Linked DNA regions of Arabidopsis thaliana. The protein of the gene in region 1 purifies or fractionates together with the protein of each later gene. This does not show direct contact. Each region holds a gene or a part of one and is shown on either strand. Other genes may lie near its edges.

Region 1 (6,063 bases):
ACAAATTAGTGTCATTAACTAGGCCTAGAGTTTAATTCCATTGGACAGTATTGTGCTTTACTGGGCCTATAGCCCATTAACTATCGGAACAAAAAGGGAATCTGAATATACTCTTTACTGTTGAAGCATACTATAATGTTGGGATGCCAACAAGTAGTGGGTCCTACTTGTGTTGTCGTCACTGATGAGTGATGAGTAATGACAAATTGACGAGTGACAAGCGTAGCTTTCTTCATCTCTTGTTAGTTGTTAGGCTTAGTACATGGATATTTGGATATGCCAAGGTAGAAGAAACATGACCATTCCTTCAATATCTCCTCTTATGATAATTATGGACCCTAAATGTAGATATACGTAAACGTACCTTAAGAAGAACCAAACCCTAATTTCTCTTGTCCACCCAATGCGTATCTCTGTTTATGTAGGTCATTTTAGTCTACACCAAAGAAACAATTGCTAGGAAGTTTGCTGAAATTCAAGCATTTAACATTACACGAATGATAGTGGGAGTTTTACATTGTCTTTCTAAATCGTTTCTCTTCTCAAACCCAAAAGGCCAAAACCTTAGTTGACCCAAATTACAATAAACAAAAAAAAAAGGTGAAAGTCTTTGCGTCTTGTTGTACTTTATTTTGAGATATAAGACACTCTTGTGAATAGCCTTGTTTCCAGATCAAGTTTCAGATAAAACCCCCAGAGATATGGATATTTGGATATCTCAAGGTAGAAACTTCACCATTCCTTCAATATGGATAAATAGGGCCCCCAAATGTAGATATACCTTAAAGAAGAACCAAACCCTGTTTTCTCTTGTCCACCCAATGCTTATGTCTGCTTATGTAGGTAATTTAGTCTACACCCCAAGAAACAAATGCTAGAAAGTTTTGCTGAAATTCAAGCATTTAGCATTACACGAATGATCATGGGAGTTTTACATTGTCTTTCTAATTTGTTTCTCTTCTCAAACCGAAAACCTATCTTGACCTGAAGTACAAAAAACAAAAACAAAAAAGAAAGTGAAAGTCTTTGTGTCTTGTTGCACTTTATTTCGAGATATGAGACAATGTTGTGAATAGCCTTGTTTCCAAATCAAGTTTCAGACAAAACCCCCTCAGAGAGAATGGTCCGATCTTAAATCTCTTAGAAGAATGACTTGGCCGCATCAACAACAGCTTCAACGGTGATACCAAACTCCTTGTAGAGTAAGGGTGCTGGTGCGCTGGCTCCGAATGAATTAATACCAATGGACTTTCCTTTGCCTCCAACAATCTTTCCCCATCCGAAAGTCGAAGCTGCTTCAATGCTAACTCTAGCTGATACATCCGATGGCAACACACTCTCCTTGTATTCATCTGATTGCTCGTCAAATAGTTCCCAGCACACGAAAGAAACAACTCTAACGGTTTTGCCGTCTTTCCTGAGCACCTCCGCAGCCTGTGCAGCAATCTCTAGCTCAGAACCAGTTCCAATCAAGATCACATCGGGTTTGTTGCCTGAAGAGTCGTCAGAAATTGTATATCCACCCTTTTCCACTCCTTCGATGGATGTACCTGGAAGATGAGGCAGCTTTTGCCTAGACAGAGCTAAGATAGATGGTGTCTTGCGCTTGGTGACAGCGATCTTGTATGCACCGGCTGTTTCATTTCCATCAGCAGGACGGAACATAAGAGTGTTGGGCATAGCACGGAAACTTGCAATGTGCTCAATGGGCTGATGGGTTGGTCCATCTTCTCCAAGACCAATGGAATCATGGGTCATAACATAGATAACACCAGCTTCAGACAAAGCTGAGATTCTCATGGCACCTCTCATGTAGTCGGTGAAGACAAAGAACGTCGCACAGTAAGGGATAAGACCGGGGCTGTGAAGGGCAATGCCATTGCAGATGGCTCCCATTCCGTGCTCCCTAACACCAAACCTAAGATTTCTTTCTTCAGGTGTGGCCTTTTGGAAGTCGCCAAAGGCTTTCAGCAATGTCATGTTGGATGATGCAAGGTCAGCACTTCCACCAAGGAAACCGGGAACAACTTTAGCAAGGGCGTTAAGACATTGCTGTGACAGGTTTCTGGTGGCATCACCTGGAGACTCTGGTGTGTATGTCTAAAAAAGGAAAAAGAAAGATGTTCTATAACTCATATCTAGAATACCAATTGAATTGTACAGAATGCAAAGAGAGTTCTACTTACAGGTAGAGCCTTCTCCCAGCCAGCAGGTAATTCACCAGTGATAATAGATTTCAACTCAGAAGCTTCCTCTGGGTACTTCTTTTCATATGCTGCAAACTTTGCACTCCAGTCAGATTCAAGAGTAGCTCCTTCAGGTGTATGACGACTCCAGTGGCTAGAGAAGTGCAAGTCAAACAGTAAGTCATCAAGGCAACTTCAAAGCAATAAAACCAAACATAAGCCTGCTTTGGATTTACTAACCTTTTTACATCGTCAGGTACCTGGAACGGCTCATACGGCCATCCAAGGTTATTTCTGGTAGCCTCAACTTCCTTCTCGCCAAGTGCAGCTCCATGGACACTGTATGAGTTCGCCTTGTTGGGAGACCCATAACCAATGGTAGTAGTGACCTGGATTACGCAATATGGTAAATCAATATCAAAGGTCTTTAGACCAACCGATGTTTGATGGTTAAGAAATTGTGTAGTTACCTTGATCAAAGTAGGCTTGTCAGTAACAGTTTTAGCTTCCTTAATGGCAGCACGGATCTCGTCATACCCAGTGTTTCCATTCTTCACCCAGATAACATGCCATCCAAGGGCTTCAAATCGCTGGTCCACGTTCTCAGTGAAGGCAATTTCTGTGTCTCCATCTATAGAAATGTGATTGTCATCGTAGAAAGCAATGAGCTTTCCAAGTCCCCAATGGCCAGCTAGAGAGCAAGCTTCATTAGAAATACCCTCCATCTGACAACCATCTCCAAGGATCGCATATCTAGACAATCAATCAAAAACAGTATTTCTATTATCAGAGCTATATACAAACCAAGAACGACAACATAACTATGGGTTATATATATTACGTGTAGTGGTCGACTACTTCAGCATCAGGTTTGTTGAATCTAGCAGCCAAATGCTTCTCAGCAAGAGCTAAACCAACAGCATTAGCGATTCCTTGTCCAAGAGGACCTGCATAGCAGCCAAAGCAGAGAGCACAATTGTAAATACAGTTATAGATAGTTTCTGTGAAATTTCACATGAACCATAAGCCAAAAGAAGCAAAATCTCAAACCAGTAGTGACTTCAATTCCAGGAGTCTCGAAATTCTCAGGATGTCCTGGTGTCTTGCTTCCCCATTGACGGAACTGCTTCAAATCTTCCTCCTAATAAACAAATCCAAACACCTTTTCAGTGAATCTACTTCAAGCAGCCATCAGATGAATATCAAAACAGATTCAATCTATCCACTAAAGTTACTACATTCATCAATTACGATCAGATCGAAAGCAATTAAACAGAGAAGAGATCACAGACCTGGACGCTGTCGTAGCCGGCAAGATGAAGCAACGCGTAGAGCAACATACATCCATGTCCAGCAGATAGAACGAATCGGTCACGGTTGAACCAATAAGGGTTCTTGGGGTTATACCTCATGACCTCATCATACAAAATGTGAGCCATCGGAGCACAACCCATAGGAAGACCAGGATGACCTGATTTGGCCTTCTCCACCGCATCGATAGCCAAAAACCTAATCGAGTTGACCGATTTGTCCACAATCGACGAATCAGTGGTTGGCTCAACAGTCTCAACAGCTGCAGCGCGAACAAGAGGACGGAGAGATCGGTTTTTGGTCATGGATTGAGCGATACGTCGACGAGACGAAGCTGAGGCGCGTGAACCGGTGGATTTGAGTCCAGAGAAAGCTGGTAAAGATCCACGTTGGTCAGAACCATGGTGAGAGATTGCACGAGCTAGGAGAGCTTGAGAGAGAGCGAGGGAAGAAGTAGAAGCCATGGATTTGACTCTCTTGTGATAGAGAGAGAAGAAGAAGAAGAAGAAGGTGTGTGATGATGGTGGTGAAGAAATGAAGAAGATGAGAGACTCTCTCTGCAACTCTTATTTTATCAGTGTGTTGATTTTTAGCCAATCAAACAAAATTTCGCCATCTCTTCGTTTTCACTAAGGGACAACTTGGATCAAATATGACCGTTGGATCTCACTAAAAGGTATAATCTTGACCGCTGATTAAGGCTAAGAGTTTAGTGATCCTCTATGCCTTTCGCTATTTTTATTACTACCATTTTTTGTTCTTTGGATATTCCGCCATAATGAAATAGGATAAAATATCTTTTTTAAAATGAGGTACGACAAAAAAAAAGTTATTTTTAAGGAAATGTTTGCTTATTCTTGAATATACAAAACCAGAAAGAGATTCAAGTATCAAGCCTACCAACTCTGGTTAAGCCGGTTTATAAAAGCACCCAAAGATGGAAAATCTAGACCAACGAAGCTACATTGAGGAAGGTTATAGGCCCAAAATAGGAACATGGGTATATAGGCCCAATAAATTACTATGGGCCTTAACATGTAAACTCATCGTCGACGTCACCGATCTCGTGATTTGCCGGTGGTTCTACACTGAGAGTATTATCGGCGGGCGGGAATTTATTGAACCCCTTTCTCTTTCCAGTAATGGCATCTAGAGCAGAGGAAATGTCGCCGACGAAGATCGAAATCGAAACGGCGGTAAAAATTGAAGAGGAAGAAGACGATGAGCATGATTCTAAGGAGAGAGTTCTACAGAGGTATTTTTTACAAGAATGGAAGCTCGTTAAATCTCTTCTCGATGATATTGTTTCAAATGGCCGTGTTGTTGATCCTACTTCTGTTCATAAGATCCGATCCATTGTACGCTTCTTAGTCTTTTGACTTCATCTACTTGATCCAACCCATGTTTCAGTATCATGTTGATTTACTTTCTCCGACTTTGTTTTGTTGTATTGTAGATGGATAAATACCAGGAGCAAGGTCAATTAGTGGAACCTTACTTAGAGAGTATAGTTTCTCCATTAATGTTTATCATCCGCTCCAAAACAGTTGATTTAGAGGCCAAACCTGATGAAATTCTTGAGATTATTAAGCCAATAAGCATCATTATCTATGCTTTAGTTACTGTATGTGGGTACAAAGCTGTTATCAAGTTCTTTCCGCATCAAGTATCCGATCTGGAACTCGCCGTTTTGCTCCTCGAGAAGTGCCATAGTACAAATTCTGTTTCTGCCTTGAGGCAAGAAAGCACTGGAGAAATGGAGGCCAAATGTGTTACTCTTTTGTGGCTTTCAATCCTTGTGTTGGTTCCGTTTGATATTTCTTCTGTTGATACAAGCATTGCTGATGACAAGACCTTTGGTGTGGATGACCTTGCTCCTTTGGTATTGAAGATATTAGGTTTCTGTAAGGACTATCTGTGCAGTGCTGGACCAATGCGCAGGATATCGGGGTTGCTACTCTCTAAGCTTTTAACTCGTCCGGATATGGGAAAAGCTTTTTCGAGGTCTGTTCCTACCACCATCAGTGCTTCAGTGTTGTTTCACTTTGAACACTTAAGATTGTTTCTAAACTGCTGTTTTCAATTGTAACATGTACAATTTACTCACCGTGAATGGATTAACTAATTTTCTTTATTCTATTGTGGCATTTCCGTTTCAGCTTTTTTGAGTGGACATATGAAGTTTTGTCTTGTAAGGAAGATAGTGTCACGAACCACTTTCGCTTGCTTGGTGTAATGGAAGCTCTATCTGCCATTTTTAAGGTTTATTCTGTTTGTAACCTGGAATTCTCTTTGTTTTAACTTTGGTCCATACTTAACACGTCAAACATATATAGATGTCTGTAAAGTACATAATCAATTTGACTTATCTGTTTTGTATCTTGTAGAAATATTACTGGTTTCTATTACTTAACCTGTTCCAATTTGCATCTGGATCTAATATGTCTACTCATGTTGGCAGACTGCTAGCCGGAAAGTGTTGCTAGATGTGCTTCCTATTGTTTTGAATGATGTGACTGTGCTAAGCAAATCAAACGCGGCGGCTAAAAGTTCTCTGCTTCGCAAG
Region 2 (5,480 bases), on another chromosome or scaffold:
AGACTGCGTTGTAATAACTGCAGTGCATCCATCACCAATTGTGAATTCACATGAAATCGAATCGCCCTACATAATTTGAACAAGAACTAGATTGATTCAAGCGCATCGATGGCAAATTCATTAATAAAGAGACAGAGAAATAGGGAAATACAGAGACAATGCCGCCACCATAAGTGATACTGTAAATCCAGACAACGTCAGTTCCAGCAGGAGCTGCCTGAAAGTTCAGTGTCGCCGGAACTTTAATAACTAAAGATTGAAAATTCGAAACTGTGAACTCTACGTAGAGAGAGAGAGGAGACCTTGCTAGGAAGTAAGAACTTGAGAGGATACTTCGAGAAGCAGCTCGTAGCTGTAGATCTTCCTCCCACTTTCTCCACCACCACTTTCCCTGTCGCCATCTCTGATCTCTCTCCACACTGTCGTCGACTTTCTCACTCCAGTTTGAGTAGAAATGTTGAATATTTTATATGCAAATCTCATCAGTTTCTGGATGTAGAGAAAGATATGATTTTGGGTGAAAAATGTCAAATTTATAAGTAGGAACAGCTCTCAGGTTCTAATCATACATAAACTCGAACGCAATCCAAATTAATGTTACAACAGTTTTATTTCCCACTCTTTGTGTTTTGTTTGGTGGGTTTTCTTCTTCAGAAACTCTCTTGGATGTGTTTATAAGAGCAAAACTGGAGGGATGTGTCCTTAATGGCGGAAATGTCTAACGTTGGTGAAGAGCAGAGAGACTCCATACTTTTTGCAGCAATCAATAGCGTCTTGGTCTCTAATACTGCCTCCAGGTTCTGCTATCACTCCTATTCCCATCTGGCACGCCTCTTCCACCGCATCTTTCCAAGCTGCAATTCACACAACAACAAATTTCCAATTCAGAACGGCTAACATTTGTTGATTGATGAGTCATTTCAGACAGAAGAATGGTTTCGGAGAGAAAAATATATATACCGAATGGGAAGAATGCGTCACTGGCCAAGGCAGCTCCTTTAGCTTCCTCCCCAGCTTTCTTGAAAGCTATTCTCAGACTCTCTACTCGGTTTGGCTGTCCGCTTCCCATCCCCAGCATACAATTGTTCTATGAGCCAACCCAAGAATCAGAATAAACTACTAGCAAACAAGTACAGAAAGAGAAACAAGAAAAGGAATCAGAGAGGAAAATCCAACCTTTGCTATCACAATGGCATTGCTCTTGACATGCTTAACGCAGAGCCAGGCAAATTTTGCATCCGCAAGTTCGCTTTCAGTCGGAGTTTTGTCTGAGACAGAATTGAAGCTGATGTCTTCTGGAGTTAAATCGTCCGAGTCCTGAGCCAACCAGCCGCCACCAACCTGTCTGAGCGATAGTTTCCCTTGGTCATTCTTTTTAGCTTCGAGGATCCTCAAAGTTTTTGATTTCCCTTTGAGGACTTCAAGACCTTTAGCAGTATACTTTGGAGCAACCACGATTTCATAAAACATTCTAGTTTCCCCGTCTGTTGGGCTCCTGAACTCTCGGATCTCCCTCGCAAGAACCTAGAGACAGTTACAGATCACTAAACAATTGAATAATGTATGGGACAACAGTAGTTTGACTTTTGATTACCTCGTCAACTTCAACATTGAAAGCTACAATGCCACCAAAGGCACTAACTGGGTCAGCTTTTACAGCTAGCCGGTAAGCCTCAAGAATATCATCACGAGAGGCCACACCACAAGGATTTGTATGCTTCACGACTACACATGTTGGGTTTTCAAATTCCGACACACAGTTCCATGCAGCGTCAGCATCAAGATAGTTGTTGTATGACATTTCCTGCTCACAGAAATAAATAGAAAAGTTAAACATAATAAGGCTTGAAAGCGAGGATAAGGATATAAATGGCAGTTTAAAACTATTTGCTCTGTAAATTACACCGGACAGAAAAAGTAGCATACTTTCTTACCTTTCCATGATGCTGAATCGCTGTTGCGATACCACCGGCATTCACTTCAGCAAGGCTCTTATCAACATAAAATGCAGCTTTTTGATGAGGATTTTCACCGTAACGAAGAGAACTCTTAAGTACAAGCGGAACTGTAAAGCTGGGAGGGAACTTCTCTTCTGAGAAAGACATGAATATCAATCAATGTAAGTTGCCAATTGCCATAACTAGTGTAAGGAGGATCACATAAAAACAATCACATACTTCCTTCAGTCTGCTTCCATAGCCATTCTGAAACCGCAGAATCATATGCAGCAACATGCTGAAAGGCCTTCCACGCAAGTTTTCTGCGGAATTGTTGGTCGCTCTGTCCTCCTTTGAGATACTCCAAAACAGCTTGATAATCTCCTGAATCGACAACAATGAGAACGTCTTTGTGGTTCTGTTGAAAAAACAATAGAAAATATACATTTATAATCTTGAAAATAATCTTGCAAGTGTAAAGAAAAAGTCTCATATGCACAGATATATGTATTACCTTAGCAGCTGCTCTAATCATAGCAGGGCCACCAATGTCAATGTTCTCAATCCCATCCTCAAAACTGATCCCACCTGGAGCAGTAACTTTTTCATAGAACGGGTACAAATTGACAACCACAACATCAAATGTACCTGTCATAGAATTAAAAAAAAAAAAGGTACAGTTAAACATAAGGAGACACTATAAATGACTTAGTCTCAAGCTTAATGTAGAGGATCAATCAAAGGTCAAAACTCACCAATCCCATGCTCATTAAGAGCTTCCATATGATGCTCCACATCCCTTCTAGCGAGGATACCACCATGTATGTTTGGATGCAAAGTTTTCACACGGCCATCAAGCTTTAAGAGAAGAAAAAAAAAAAGGAGAGCTAAGTTTAATATACTAAACTCAACAAAACAATGGTATAAACCAAAACTTAAATATAAATATCAGCGAGATCACAAGACCAAAACTTTTAGCAAGAGCAGCGAGCATAAGAGAAAAGAAAAACATGCCATTTCTGGAAAATGAGTAAGCTTCTCCACTTTGGTCACAGAGACTCCAGCATTCTCCAAAGTAGAGGCAGTTCCTCCAGTAGAAACAATAGTGTATCTACACAAATATCAATGAAAAAAGGAATCATTTACATATAAGATAGAAACAAAACCAAAATTTGTATAGTTCTAAGTAAGAGAGAGTTGTGAAGAACACATACCCCAATTCTTGCAGACCGTTGCCAAGAGAAGCCAAGTCCCTCTTGTCAGATAGAGATATCAAAGCTTGCTTCTCCCCTGATTCAATTAAAGCCCGATTATTTGAAAATCACTAAAACGTAACTGAAAATCGATCACTGAATTTGAAATTGCAGCAAAAAGAAAAATTGTAAACCAGAGGAGCCTGAGGATTGCGGCTGATTCCTCTGAGCAGTCTGAGACTCTGCCATGGCTCGAACAGCAACGAAACTTGGACACAGCGACGTACGATAGACCTGCTCATTGAAAATTCCACTAATATTAAAAAGTTTAGCAGAACATGAAACAAAGACACAAAGGAACACGTCCACACACAGAGGAGAACTCACAGGCTGAGTAAAACGAAAAGGCGCGACGGATTTTTTGCGAAACAAGCCGCAGAGAATATCGCCGGAGCGAGCACTCACGGAGGTGGCGGTGGCGGCTGAGCTGAGCATAGTAGTCTGATTTTGAAACAGTGTGTAGTGTTGAGCTCTGTTAGGTTTTGTGATTTTGCGGCTAATTTTGGAAATAAATTAGAAAAAAAAATAAAAAAAAAAGGAAAATATGTAATTTATTATTGGCGTCAGGTGGAATTATGTATTTATTATTATGGCCTTGACAGTTAGATTACACCTGGAATATTTGGAAAATTGGAATAAAGCTTCTCTTTTTATTTCCCCCAAAAATAAAACTAAACTATTTTAACTCCAAATTTTAAAAAATTTAGTAGAAACCAAAATTCTCAAGTGTAAACTAATTAGTAAGAAATAAAACTTTATTGGATCAGAGTGGTAATATTACAAAAGACTAACTATGGAGATGACGAAAGCTTCTTATGTTTTATATGATATTTTATTTGCTTTTCAGAATTTTAAATAATGTAAGTAGATAACAATTATTTTATTGGTAGGCATAATAGTTTTTTTCTCGAGAATATAGTTTTGTTTTTCGAATTGTCAAAATTAGAAGAGAGATTTTAAGGAAGGACTTGGCTTCTTCTCCTACTCATCGATCGTCAAACCGAGGACGCTTCACAGTCTCTGGTGCCGCCTTTCCTGGTATAAACCTTTTTCTCTACTTCTCTCCTTCTTTGCTTACTCGTCTTCCTTTTAGGTGTATGCTGTTTTTGAATTTTGATCATTATTATCGAAAATCTCTGGATCCGATGTGTTTCCACCTGAATTTCGGGTAATGATACTCAGATCTTGCATTTTCTAGAGTTTCAGTGGTTTTGATGGCTTGATCGGCTTTTGTTTTTTGGTTGGGTAGAGGTTTTTAGCTCAGTTTTTGGTTCGAAATGACGCTTATTTGTTTCCTTTTTGAGGTTTGGAATTGTTTCACGGACTTGATTGAATTTTGGATTTAGTTCTATGTTTTGATCTGTTGATTTACACTCTCTCAAAGTTACGATGGGTTTGCTAATAGTTTGGTGAAGTTGATCGATTTTAGTTTCAGCGATTCCTGTTAGTTTAAACTTGAAGAGACTAGAAAGTAGTCATTTTAGCTAGTTTCATGTTGGAAAGTATGCACAGTCAGATATTTGTACTGGATGATCTGTCCCTGCTAGAGTAAAGAGTTTTATTGGTTTGTATACCGAAAATGTTCCTTAAATAGTATGGTTTTCTGAGTTTTAGCCGTATGCTATTTTGGTTTTTTTGTTCTTGAATATGTTTGACTACTTGAGTAAAGTTACTCTTCTCCTATTTCAGGCACCTCAATGAGAGTTTGAGTTGTTCATGATAGAAGTCGTCCTGTTCTGCAGCCAAAACGTTAGAAATTTGCGAAGGATGCTTATGCAAAGATTTTACTTGGGTCATGATCATGATATGTCGCCTACAAGCGTTTGTGAGGGAGCTTATGAACTAGATAGATAGACACCTTGAGAAAGAAAACATGGATCAAGCAAAAGGTTATGAACATGTTCGGTATACTGCCCCTGACCCTAGAGATGAGGGACTTGGCTCCATTAATCAAAGGTTTTCCCACGACTCTTCAACTAATGTTAACACTTATGTACGACCTCCAGATTATGGTGTTTCAACCCCTGCTCGGCCAGTGCTAAACTACTCAATACAGACCGGTGAAGAATTTGCTTTTGAGTTTATGAGAGATAGGGTTATTATGAAACCGCAGTTCATCCCAAATGTGTATGGTGAGCACAGTGGTATGCCTGTTTCTGTTAACTTAAGTGCTCTGGGAATGGTTCATCCAATGTCAGAGAGTGGCCCTAACGCTACAGTGCTTAACATAGAAGAAAAACGTCAGAGCTTTGAGCACGAGAGGAAACCCCCTTCTAGAATTGAAGATAAG
Region 3 (6,214 bases), about 14 Mb from region 1:
TAACTTGAGGACGCATGTGTTTAGTCTTCACAAGGAATCCGAAGACGAGAGGAAGTGTATGGATGGTTGCACCTTGAGCTTTAACTGGTGCAACGAGTATATGGAGACCGTTCATAGATACTTTTCCCCATCGTTTCAAGGTGGTCCTAACCTTCTCCTCGCTTCACAGTATGTTCTCCCTCGTTGGTTGTCCCGTCTCCCTCGTCCACAGCCTTCTAATTAGTTTATATTGATTCTGTTTTAAGTTTGATATCAAATTTCAAATGTGAATGATTTTACAATTCTGTGAGATGTCATGCTCGAGCCTTTGAGACAAATACTTGCACCTTGATATAAATTGGTCGAATCAAATATTAATTACCATGCTCGAGTTTTACTATTCTTATGACCCTTATGTTGTCTCCTACAGAAACGAGAGAAAGACGATGAAAAGACTTGAAATCCAAGGAACCCAAGCCTTTAAGGTTAGTGGATTTCACATCTTTCTAAACCATGTAGAGAACGTCAAGCTTATTCACGCATAGCTGGTTTGCCACATTGGCTCTTAAGTTCAATCTCATAGACAAGTATTTATGCAAATCCGTCTTTATTCTGTCTTTATATTCTTTGGAATTCGGCCACAATCACAAGTTTTTATTTTGACATTTAAGAGAAACAAAATCTTAAAAACGAACCCTGCAAATAGCTAATGATCAGTCACAAAGTAACATGATCTAGAAGCTACAATAAATAAACTTACAAATTCCCTCATGAACGTACACTACATTCTGCTGCTCATTCACAAAACTCTCTCTTAGATCGTTCACTTTACTCGTCAGTCACACATCCATCTGAAGCCGATTGCACGTTCTTGATGTACTGTTTTTAGAATATCATAAACCATTCATTAGAAACTAATCCATCAGATGTCAAAGAGACATACATTATATAGATACAAGTGGATTCGTATAGTACCTTATATAGGACTCCGCGGTTAACCTTGTATGCAGGAGCAGTCCATTTCTTTCTACGGTCATTCATTTCTTCGGGTGAGACTTGTGTGTCTATTCTCTTCTTTCCTATGTCAATGGTGATTATGTCTCCGTTCTTGATCAGACCGATCGGACCACCCTCCTGCACAGATAAATAGTAAGCACACCGGAGAATTGCTTTCAGCATTATTATCTTCACATTCTCCAATCACATTAATATCAGTTTTATTATTTGAAATATTCCAAAATCATCATAACTGCATAAGAGCCACCACAAACTATTACAGGATCCCTTGACCCTTGTTCCTTTTTGCTAAAACTATATATGACTATGACCCAGTAGCATTTATTTTTCAATACACAAGAAAAATATCCCAGAAGAGGGACATGGATCTATCAAATTTATCTTGCAAGTGCAAAATTTAGAATTTTGCTCTGATGGAGCCAGTGGGCAGAGAGAAAAAAAAAAGGGAGAGAGAGAGACCTGAGCTTCAGGGCAAATGTGGCCAACAACAAAACCGTGTGACCCACCAGAGAACCTACCATCAGTCAGTAATGCACATTCCTGCATCACCCAATAGCAACATATTGGCACTTTATATAAGGTGTGTTCTCGGATATGGACAAAGTAGATAAAAAGATTTAGGTCACTACCATAAGCATAATATAGTCAGACCATATCAAAGGAAAAATAACGAGTTCTTTAATTTAGAACATAAAAATTGATCAGACTTAATAAATGTCTCACTAACCCAGTCATACTGGTCATATCATACCTTTCCAAGACCGGCACCCATTATTGCACTTGTCGGTGTCAACATCTCAGGCATACCTGGACCTCCTTTAGGCCCCTCTCCTCTGATAACAACCACAGTTCCCTGAAACACGATACATTTCATCAGATAAAAGATATATAACCAGCTCCTGAGATGAACTTCATATCAGAAAGGAAATTACCTTAAAACTCATTGGGTCTGCTGATATAGCAGCCAACATAGATTCCTCTCCTTCAAATACAAGTGCAGGACCTAAAATAAATAGTTCCATCATATAAGCCCTAATATTCAGAAGCATTAGCTAAATATGGAGTGTAAAGGAGGTACTAGAGTGAACCAACATTACCAGAGAAATATAAGCCCTCTTTGCCGGTAATTTTTGCTACAGAACCATCTGGTGCAAGGTCTCCTCTCAAAATTTGTATGTGTCCAGTCTCCTTGATTGGATTTGACAGAGGTCTAATTATCTCCTGGAACATTATCAGAATTAATTAGAATCCTGTATAACTAACAACCATCATAATCAAGAAGAAACAGGCGGTAGAATCTAATGAGATAACTAATAACATTACAAATACCTGCCCTTCTGTTAAGCTTGGGACGTTTTCTAAATTTTGAGCCAAAGTCTGCCCTGTCACTGGTAGAGATACAAAAGCGTAGTTATGCCATTTCACATCAATCCAAATTGCTAAGTCAGTTTATAAAATGTTTGAGCATTTCTACCTGTCATACAATCACCATCCATCAATCCTAGCTCTAATAAATAGCGGAGAACAGCTGGCGTACCACCTATCTGTAGATTAAACAACAAAACTTACAAACTGACCAATAAAAAAACAGATAAGTAATAAGCAAAACGATTTCGCCAAAGCCTTACCTTATGTATATCCTCCATAACATACTTCCCACTGGGTTTAAGATCTGCTAGAAATGGAACCGCATCGCTAACTTTCTGAAAATCGTCAAGAGTCAACTCCAAACCAACAGACCTGAAATCATTTCCATTCATTACTTCGGTCCATTGCTTTCCATGGTAATAATAAGAAACATCATAACAATCTGTCACCTTGCAATAGCAATTAGATGCAATACTGCATTTGTCGATCCCCCAAGGGCCATGACGGAAACCATTGCATTACGAAGTGATTTTGGAGTGATAATGTCACGGGGTTTTAAGTCCATCTTTAGCAATTCTAGAAGATATTTTCCTGCTAAGCGACACTCGTCCAACTTCAATGGGTCTTCAGCAGGTATTGAAGAACTTCAAAAAAAAAAGAAGAAGCAAATATATGAACTTTTGAAATAAGCATTCCACAATTACAGTTTAGGATCTACAATGTTCTTGTGGAAATAACTTTCTATTAAGCACAAATCTGGGAAAACGTTTGAAGTTGATTTATAAATGTGGTCTTCAGGACTGAAAGCCTCACCTGTAAGGAAGGGACATTCCCATTGCTTCGATAGCAGAAGCCATTGTATTCGCTGTGTACATGCCACCACAGGCTCCAGCTCCAGGACATGAATGATGGAGGACAGTCTTTCTCTGTTCATCACTTATGGAGCCACTAACAAATTCTCCATAACTCTGAAATACAAAATTGGAAAACATGATGAATCCCACAAGTACTGGTACAATTTGACACCAAAGTCACCAAGATTTCTGTAACTCAATCCCAAAATTGGAAAACTCAATGAAGTCTCATAAATACACATTAAAATTGTTATAACCAAGCTCGTAGCAGATAGAAGAAAAGATACCTGGAAAGCAGATACAATGTCATATGTCTTGTCTTGAAAATGGCCAGGCTGCAATAATATCAAAGCAAGGTGAATAGGCTATCCAACTAGGCACAAGGGTTTAGGGTTTAAGAAACTATCTTCTCATCAATTTGATAAAAGTAAGTACCTTAATGGTTCCACCATAAACCATAATCCCTGGTCTGTTAAGCCTTCCCATAGCCATAATAGTTCCAGGCATCTAAAAGTATTACAACAATAACATTATAGCAAACAAATCACATAAAACATGGAGATAAAGACAACACAAAGATCGATGATTAAAAAAAAAAAACTCACATTTTTATCACAACCGGGAATAGATATGTTACCATCATACCACTGAGCACTCATAACAGTCTCAATACTATCAGCAATCAAATCCCTAGATTGCAAACTAAAACACATCCCTCTCGTTCCCATCGAAATAGCATCACTCACACCAATAGTATTAAACCTAAACCCAACCATTCCTGCATTTTCAACTCCTTCTTTCACAGCCTCAGACAATTTCAGCAAATGCATGTTACAAGTGTTCCCTTCATACCAAACCGACGAGATACCAATCTGGGGTTTTAGCAAATCGTCGTCTGATAAACCAACACCGTGAAGAATTGCTTGAGACCCACCTTGGGATTTGGGTTCAGTGATTCTTGAGCTGTATTTGTTGAGCTTATTGGTGTCAGTGATAGGTGGTGAAGGATCAGCGGTTACGGATTGGGCGGAGCAGGAGATGATTGAGGGACGGCGAGAGTTGACATTGTGGGAAGGGAGGAGAGGTTTACAGGGGAAGAGAGTGGCGCGTGGAGAGAAGATGGTGGCTTGCATGACGGCGCGAGGAGGAAAGGGTTTAAAGAAGGGTTTTTTGGCGGCGCAGTGCGTGTGGAGGAGACACTTCAAAAGTGAAGACTTTGTGAGAGTGAGATAAAATGGTCAGGACTCTGAATTCAGATAGATACAGAAAAATAGGTTTTTTTGGTAATTTGTGAAAACGCTGTCGTTTAGCATAATTTGGGAAACAATTTGGTTTAACTCGCTGGTTTGGTATATGCGATTGCTTAAATAGTTATAATTAGGGGTGCAATAACCGGTTATTACAATTGTAGTGAAATAATTGGGTTAAAAATGGAATTGAAGACATAATAAATGGTTTTGGTTTCATATTTTTTTCATAATCAATATAGTAATAGAGATCAAACCAAGACAGAAAAAGAAGTAGAAATAAACCAATTAGAATTGTTTTTTTTTGTTAATGAAATATTGCTAAAATTAAATGCCGTAATCGAAGCAAAAATAAGAAATAAACCAACTAAAACTTCTTCTTTTTTACTACGGAAATTAAAGTAAATTTTGCTAAAAAGGATAAAACCCTAGCAGAAATCAAAATTGTACCAAACCGAACCACATGATATATTTCTTGTAGGATTCACTTCTTTATCTCATCTAACAAAAATTTGATAATTTTCAGTAACCGAACCGGAAGTTGGACATTCTTAATTAGAACTAGAAGTTTCTTGGGCTATAAAAAAGCAAGTGGTGTTTTAGACTTTTAGTGTCTAGTAAGTTTTTTTCCACAGTTTCTGTTCTTTGGAAAAATGGTTCATTATCATTATTGCTAAAGAATTGTATCTAACTCCAACAAAAAAAAAAAAAAACGATTTGTGCAAATCTTTCATGGGACATGTGCTTTTTGAACTCATAGTGCTATGATTTACTATATTTCCAAAATAAAAATTGTAAAATAACCAAAAGAGAAATAAATATGACATTGTGGATCAAGATTCTCTGACGAGATATGACTGTTTGCAGAAGACTATTTGAGTAAAAAGTGTTTATGTACATTCGACACATTTGGTCTTCAATATCAACAGATTCATTGATGCGAATGATCCTGTCTTCTTTTTCTTCTTGCTTCCAAGAATCCTTAGACTCTGTCTCAATAAGTCAATCTCTCTTTCTTTCTCATACTTTTGTCTATCCATCAAAACTATTTGCTCTTCAAGTGTCTCAACTGTCTCTTCTTTAACTCTAACTTCATCTCTCAATACTTCAACTCTCTTTGCTTCTGTTTCTTCTTCTTCTTGTTCCTCAAGTTTCCTTTGCATGATTGCTTCTCCTACAAACACACACTTTAAAGATCCTATTTACTTTTTCTAATTTTAAGTTGAAATAAGTTGAGTTTATTTTACCGGAGGAAGAAGTAGTGTGGGAGATGAGATGATCAAGCTCATTCTTGATAGCTAAATAGAGTTGTTTCCATTTCTCAACGGCTTCATCTCTCACTGCTCTCTCTACACACATCTCCTCAACCACCCACTTCCAATACTCTCTTTCCTCTGTTGTTGTTGTCTTTGCTTCTTCTCTTTCCTCTAGCTTCTTCCTTAGTCTTCTCACTTCCTCTCTCAGCTTCTTCCTCTCTTTTCTCCACTCTCTCTCCGCCTCTTTAAGCTGAAGAAACATCACTTTCTCTCTCTCATCTCTCTCTTTTATCAGGTGTCTTCTTCCTCTGCTTTGGTCTTTTGATGTCTCCTTCACACTTCTCACACCTCTCCTCTCTTGCTTGCTTGTGCATCCACCCATCTCTAATCCTTTTGGACACTTCTTCTTCTTCTTCTTATAACATGAAGAAGAATATGTTAATGAAGGAGAATCTCACTCTATCTCTCTGAAAGCTGTGTTCTTGTTTTATTT
Region 4 (4,557 bases), on another chromosome or scaffold:
ATACAATCCCAGGGTTGTAGCCAGAGCAGCAAGTTTATCAAAATCCCGTCTATCTTTTTTCTCCCTGGAAATAACTTCTTGCTTTAAAGAATCTTTCAAAAGCATTGAAAATCTCTTATTCCAATCATCCAAGTCGGCACAGTGAAAGGTACCCTCCTGCTGCAAATTGATATGGTTCCAGTAGAAAGATAAAGGGATTTTTATAAAATGCTACTCGAGAGCAAATCGAAAACTAGAATCGCCATTGTAAGAGCATCAATCAAAAAGCTCAGAGATGCATGAAAAAAAGATGAAGAAGAAGTTAACCGGTTGGCGATCCTCGGAAACGCGGTCATCATAAGCGGAGACATAGCGAACTGGAGAGAGAGGAACAGGATTGAAGCCGTAATCGGAACCAAGGCGCTGGTGAGGCGGAACGTACAGCGAAGGAGGAAGACGATTCGTCATCGGAGCCAAATTCAAAACTCTAAACTCTCTCTACTGTAAGTCAAAAGTAAACTATAAAGAGGGAGAGAGATCTCCGCTGCTTCTTCTAACACTGAACTTGCAACTATGCCAATTTTACCTAATCGCCCTCCAAAAATTTTGTAAACTTAAAAGAAGAATTACACAATTTGGTTTTGCAGTCAAACAGTAATCAGTCTTTCTGAGAGGAAATATAGATTTAAGAGGATGTTTTCACGTTGCTCACATACATATATGATATGATCGTGACTCGTGACTGTCTTTCTTTCTCAGAGACAAAACAAAAAAGGGAAAAAAAAACAAAAGACAACAATGGTCCTTAATCCTTATTACGATCTCTGAAATTAACAAATCAGTAGGTGTAACCCTTGACAAACATTCCTTTCTTGGCATCCTCGTTCTCTCCCTCGGCTGAGTATTTGCCGAGCTGGGCCAGTGAGTTGGCCTTTGCCCTCACCAACAGTGCCTTCTGCGAGGCCTCAATCTTCTCCGGCTTGCCTTGCCATGTTCTGAGCACGGAGTTCTGCAGGGCACGTGCGTATGAGAAGGACACATGCCATGGGTTTGGGCTCTGGTTCATGGCGTTCAGGTTCAGTGTGGCCTCTGCCTCTGATTGTCCTCCTGACAGAAACATGATCCCTGGGACAGCCGGAGGAACCCTCCTTTTCAGCATGGTGAGCGTGAAATCTGCAACGGTCTCGGGAGAGGCCTTGTTCTTGTGCTCAGCGCCTGGGGTGACCATGCTCGGCTTCAACAGAATGCCCTCAAACATGACGTTGTTCTGTGCCAAGTAGAAGAACACCTCTGACCACACTTTCTCTGCCACCTCCAGAGTCCTCTCTATTGGGTGGTCCCCGTCCAGAAGGATCTCTGGCTCCACAATGGGGACAAGACCATTATCCTGAGAGATGGCTGCATAGCGAGCCAGCCCCCACGCAGCTTCCTTCACAGCCAGTGCTGAAGGACCGCAGGGAACACTCACCACTGTCCTCCTAGACAAACACACACAAACATCAAAACTAGGAAGAGCATTTTCACATCAAACCAAAGAGTTAATACCATATGTAAGATAACATGGTGAAATATATGACATACCACTTGGCAAAACGAGCGCCTTGCTTGTAGTACTCAGCAGAGCGTGAGGCCAATCCATCCAAGCCTTGGCACCAAGACTCTTCGTTGGAACCGGCTAGGGGAGACAAGCCCTACGCGGTGGATTGCATTGTCAACACTTCACTCAACACACATAAAAACTCAACTACTTATGATGATGATGACAGAATAAATGGATAAAAAATACCTTGTCAACTTTGATGCCAGGGACGATGTTGGCATCGCGCAAGCAATCGACAAAGGTCTTACCGTCCTTGGTGGACTGGTAAAGAGTCTCCTCGAAGAGAATGGAACCAGAGATGTAATCGCCGAGGCCAGGAGTGGTAAGCAGAAGTTGCCTGTAGGCCTGACGGTTGTCCTCGGTGTTATCCAAGCCGATAGAAGCAAGCCTCTTCCCACAGGTTGCATTGGACTCATCGATCGCCAAGATACCTCTCCCAGGGGATGCAATGCTTTTCTATTACGCAATAATCAGAGAATCTCACTCTACGTTTGACTTTGAGAATTACGGAAACGAATCCAAACTAATAAAGCATCAAAGAGAGAGAGAGGATAAGGAGGATACTCACGGCGGTTTTAACAAGCTCGTCGGAGTAAGCACCGGCGCGGATCGCGAAGGAGACTCGAGGAGGAGGAGAAGAAGAAGCAGAGGTGTGAGCAAAGGAGCGTTGGCCGATCCATGGAGAAGAGAGGGTGTTAGGCTTAACGAAGCTAGCAGACGCCATAGGTAGTACAAGGAAGGTACAAAAGTGATGGTGATCAATCTCTCGGGGACTCCGCGGGACAGAGACAGAGAGAGATCTGGGATTTGGAGGAGAGTGTTAAAGCCAAAGGTTTTGTTTACTACTATTAGTAGTCGTCTACTTTGGCATCACCTACTCCCACCACCAAAAAGCCTCCTTCTCTTTACCATTTTATTCCCCAATTTACCGTAAATGACGCTTTTAACCTTGAGGGAGATACTGGTAATTTTTTCTAGTAGTTCATCAGTCTCTCAACAACAAGAATCTGAGAATAACCAAAACTCTACCGTTTCGTCTACCCAAACTATCCTTCTCCTACCATTGCCTCTTCGTCTAACTCAATCGTTTTTCTTAATTAATCAAATTACATGACCTATCACCTCTTCAAGGAGTGTGATGAAAGAGAATGGGCCGGATATTCCCTTTTTTATCTGTTGGGCCACAATAGTAAACAACTTATATAACAGGCAAACTCTTTTACGTAATTGATTTTTGGGCCCAATAGTAATAGGGCTTAGTTTCAGATAAACAATAAGAGCCCACGACAGCTTTGGTGTTCTTGGGTCTTTTTCTTTTTTTTTTTCCTTTTTATTAAGGCAACCATCCAATAAGTCCAAATATTGGTGTTACTCGTAACAGGCGAGGAAGGTGTAAACAAGAAGAGAGAAAATGCAAGTTCCGAGAAACGTTATATATATGCGACATGAGAAAGTGGCAACTTTTTCTTTCTTGTATCTTACACTACTTTTTTGTATTTTTAAAGTATCTTTGATTTGATAACAGTTTTCTAAAACTGTTGGCCACAATTTAAATGCATATTCATATGTATGTTCAAATTTACAGCAACTCAGTTTGACCCCACAAAAAAAGGGAAAAACAACAACAAAATTCAAGACTATATGACTAAATATGTTCAAGTGCTTCAATTATATATTAGGTACAAGAATATGAATATAATGCCAATCTTATCTTAATCAGAGTAGGAACTAGTAATTTTCATATTTTAAGACAAGTTTGAAAGTTGTTTTAATTAAACATGCGTAAAGTTCCATTCTCTGCTCTCAGATGAATGGCATATCGATCATAATTCACCTAGTACTTCTTCTAGAGTGTTCTACGCTGCCTCTACGTATTAGAATATAGTATATGTAAAAGGTGTTGGTGCAGATCTTTGATTAACACTTTGGTCAGTCACATATCTAATGATTTTTAAACGATAAACCCCAAAACGCGTCTTCATACAGTTCACATGCATATGTCACCCAGAAGAATTGACTCTCAGATCTTTCTAGGTGTTTGTGTTCACACTTCGCCACGCTCTCTCTGTTAGAAACGATTTAAATATACAAACAAAGCTAGTCAGTGTTTCCCATTCGAAAAAAGAGAAAAGACAAAAGAGAGTGTGTTATTTGTCTTGTAATGAAACCTATTGAGTATGGTTGACTGGTTGGTGCGTAGGGAGAAGCAGAAGGTGATAGGACCACGTTGTTGTTTATTTGGCAATTCTTTTACAAGCCCTTGGTCCTGTTTTCTCCATCTTCTCTACTTCATTTGTCATTTTCATTGTTTACTTATTAAATTTACATCCATGTTAACTATTTTCATTTAAACAACAACGTACGTGGACCTATCGACTGATCATCCCTTGGTCGACAAACAATGATGGATCGGAACTTGATTTGGTTTTCTTGAGTTATGTGAAAAAGCATCGCATTATCAATTTTAACAACTTTTCTATAGCTCTTAATTCTGTCTAGCTAATAGACCTATAGTTTCTAAAACAAATACTATAGTCTTGCAAGCCGCATGCTACCTAATGCAGTATATATTTGGATAATTTCAAATTGTCTTTATTATTTCCTCATATTTTTATTTAATTATTTAGATAATTTTTATTTATTGTTTTATGAATTTTCTAAAATTTTGGATTTATTATAATTAAGACTTTTGAACTTAAAATTGTATTCAGTTAATTGATTAATAAAATTAAGCTTTTACCTTTTCAGAGAAGAGTATTCTCTAATTCCTTGCTTTCGGTAGATCTTGAAAGATTTCAACGGTTATAAAAAGATGTAGGATTCGGTATTCGAAGAGAATCAACGAATTCCTTACGTTCTCTCGTTTCTGTTATTCTGAGGAATCAACAGATCCAAAAAATTCTAGTTTTCTGGTATTCCGAGGAATCAACGGATGTCTAGTTCTATCCATTAAAACTTCCGCTACTTCAGTTGGTATC

What was found.
Region 2: the proteins of AT3G60750 (region 1) and AT2G35040 fractionate together in Arabidopsis thaliana (co-fractionation; one large-scale study listed by BioGRID). This does not show direct contact.
Region 3: the proteins of AT3G60750 (region 1) and AT3G23940 fractionate together in Arabidopsis thaliana (co-fractionation; one large-scale study listed by BioGRID). This does not show direct contact.
Region 4: the proteins of AT3G60750 (region 1) and PDE345 fractionate together in Arabidopsis thaliana (co-fractionation; one large-scale study listed by BioGRID). This does not show direct contact.

What each region holds. Positions count from the first base shown.
Region 1 is NC_003074.8:22,451,902-22,457,964, reverse strand, and holds AT3G60750 (Transketolase), read right to left. Parts: upstream 4,298-6,063; 5' UTR 3,962-4,297; coding exon 3,479-3,961; intron 3,328-3,478; coding exon 3,237-3,327; intron 3,134-3,236; coding exon 3,028-3,133; intron 2,940-3,027; coding exon 2,657-2,939; intron 2,576-2,656; coding exon 2,427-2,575; intron 2,341-2,426; coding exon 2,187-2,340; intron 2,101-2,186; coding exon 1,141-2,100; 3' UTR 507-1,140; downstream 1-506. Other genes in the region: TTN1 (ARM repeat superfamily protein), read left to right, coding at 4,640-4,855, 4,954-5,501, 5,657-5,759, 5,959-6,063. UniProt on the Arabidopsis thaliana protein: Catalyzes the reversible transfer of a two-carbon ketol group from fructose-6-phosphate or sedoheptulose-7-phosphate to glyceraldehyde-3-phosphate to yield xylulose-5-phosphate and erythrose-4-phosphate or ribose-5-phosphate, respectively.
Region 2 is NC_003071.7:14,764,645-14,770,124, forward strand, and holds AT2G35040 (AICARFT/IMPCHase bienzyme family protein), read right to left. Parts: upstream 3,675-5,480; 5' UTR 3,626-3,674; coding exon 3,518-3,625; intron 3,444-3,517; exon of another isoform or gene 3,425-3,443; coding exon 3,325-3,424; intron 3,228-3,324; coding exon 3,152-3,227; intron 3,049-3,151; coding exon 2,952-3,048; intron 2,796-2,951; coding exon 2,693-2,795; intron 2,586-2,692; coding exon 2,452-2,585; intron 2,356-2,451; coding exon 2,178-2,355; intron 2,093-2,177; coding exon 1,935-2,092; intron 1,805-1,934; coding exon 1,595-1,804; intron 1,525-1,594; coding exon 1,177-1,524; intron 1,088-1,176; coding exon 961-1,087; intron 855-960; coding exon 703-854; 3' UTR 501-702; downstream 1-500. Other genes in the region: URED (urease accessory protein D), read right to left, coding at 1-66, 152-217, 303-401; AT2G35050 (kinase superfamily with octicosapeptide/Phox/Bem1p domain-containing protein), read left to right, coding at 5,064-5,480.
Region 3 is NC_003074.8:8,646,917-8,653,130, reverse strand, and holds AT3G23940 (dehydratase family), read right to left. Parts: upstream 4,463-6,214; 5' UTR 4,352-4,462; coding exon 3,824-4,351; intron 3,726-3,823; coding exon 3,654-3,725; intron 3,554-3,653; coding exon 3,506-3,553; intron 3,333-3,505; coding exon 3,178-3,332; intron 3,009-3,177; coding exon 2,814-3,008; intron 2,737-2,813; coding exon 2,625-2,736; intron 2,541-2,624; coding exon 2,471-2,540; intron 2,385-2,470; coding exon 2,326-2,384; intron 2,218-2,325; coding exon 2,094-2,217; intron 2,000-2,093; coding exon 1,929-1,999; intron 1,850-1,928; coding exon 1,748-1,849; intron 1,537-1,747; coding exon 1,456-1,536; intron 1,114-1,455; coding exon 955-1,113; intron 859-954; coding exon 808-858; 3' UTR 526-807; downstream 1-525. Other genes in the region: AT3G23950 (F-box family protein), read left to right, coding at 1-223; AT3G23930 (troponin T, skeletal protein), read right to left, coding at 5,356-5,639, 5,713-6,103. UniProt on the Arabidopsis thaliana protein: Functions in the biosynthesis of branched-chain amino acids.
Region 4 is NC_003071.7:94,189-98,745, forward strand, and holds PDE345 (Aldolase superfamily protein), read right to left. Parts: upstream 2,676-4,557; 5' UTR 2,304-2,675; coding exon 2,148-2,303; intron 2,036-2,147; coding exon 1,766-2,035; intron 1,671-1,765; coding exon 1,561-1,670; intron 1,458-1,560; coding exon 818-1,457; 3' UTR 539-817; downstream 1-538. Other genes in the region: AT2G01130 (DEA(D/H)-box RNA helicase family protein), read right to left, coding at 1-159, 307-447. UniProt on the Arabidopsis thaliana protein: Plays a key role in glycolysis and gluconeogenesis.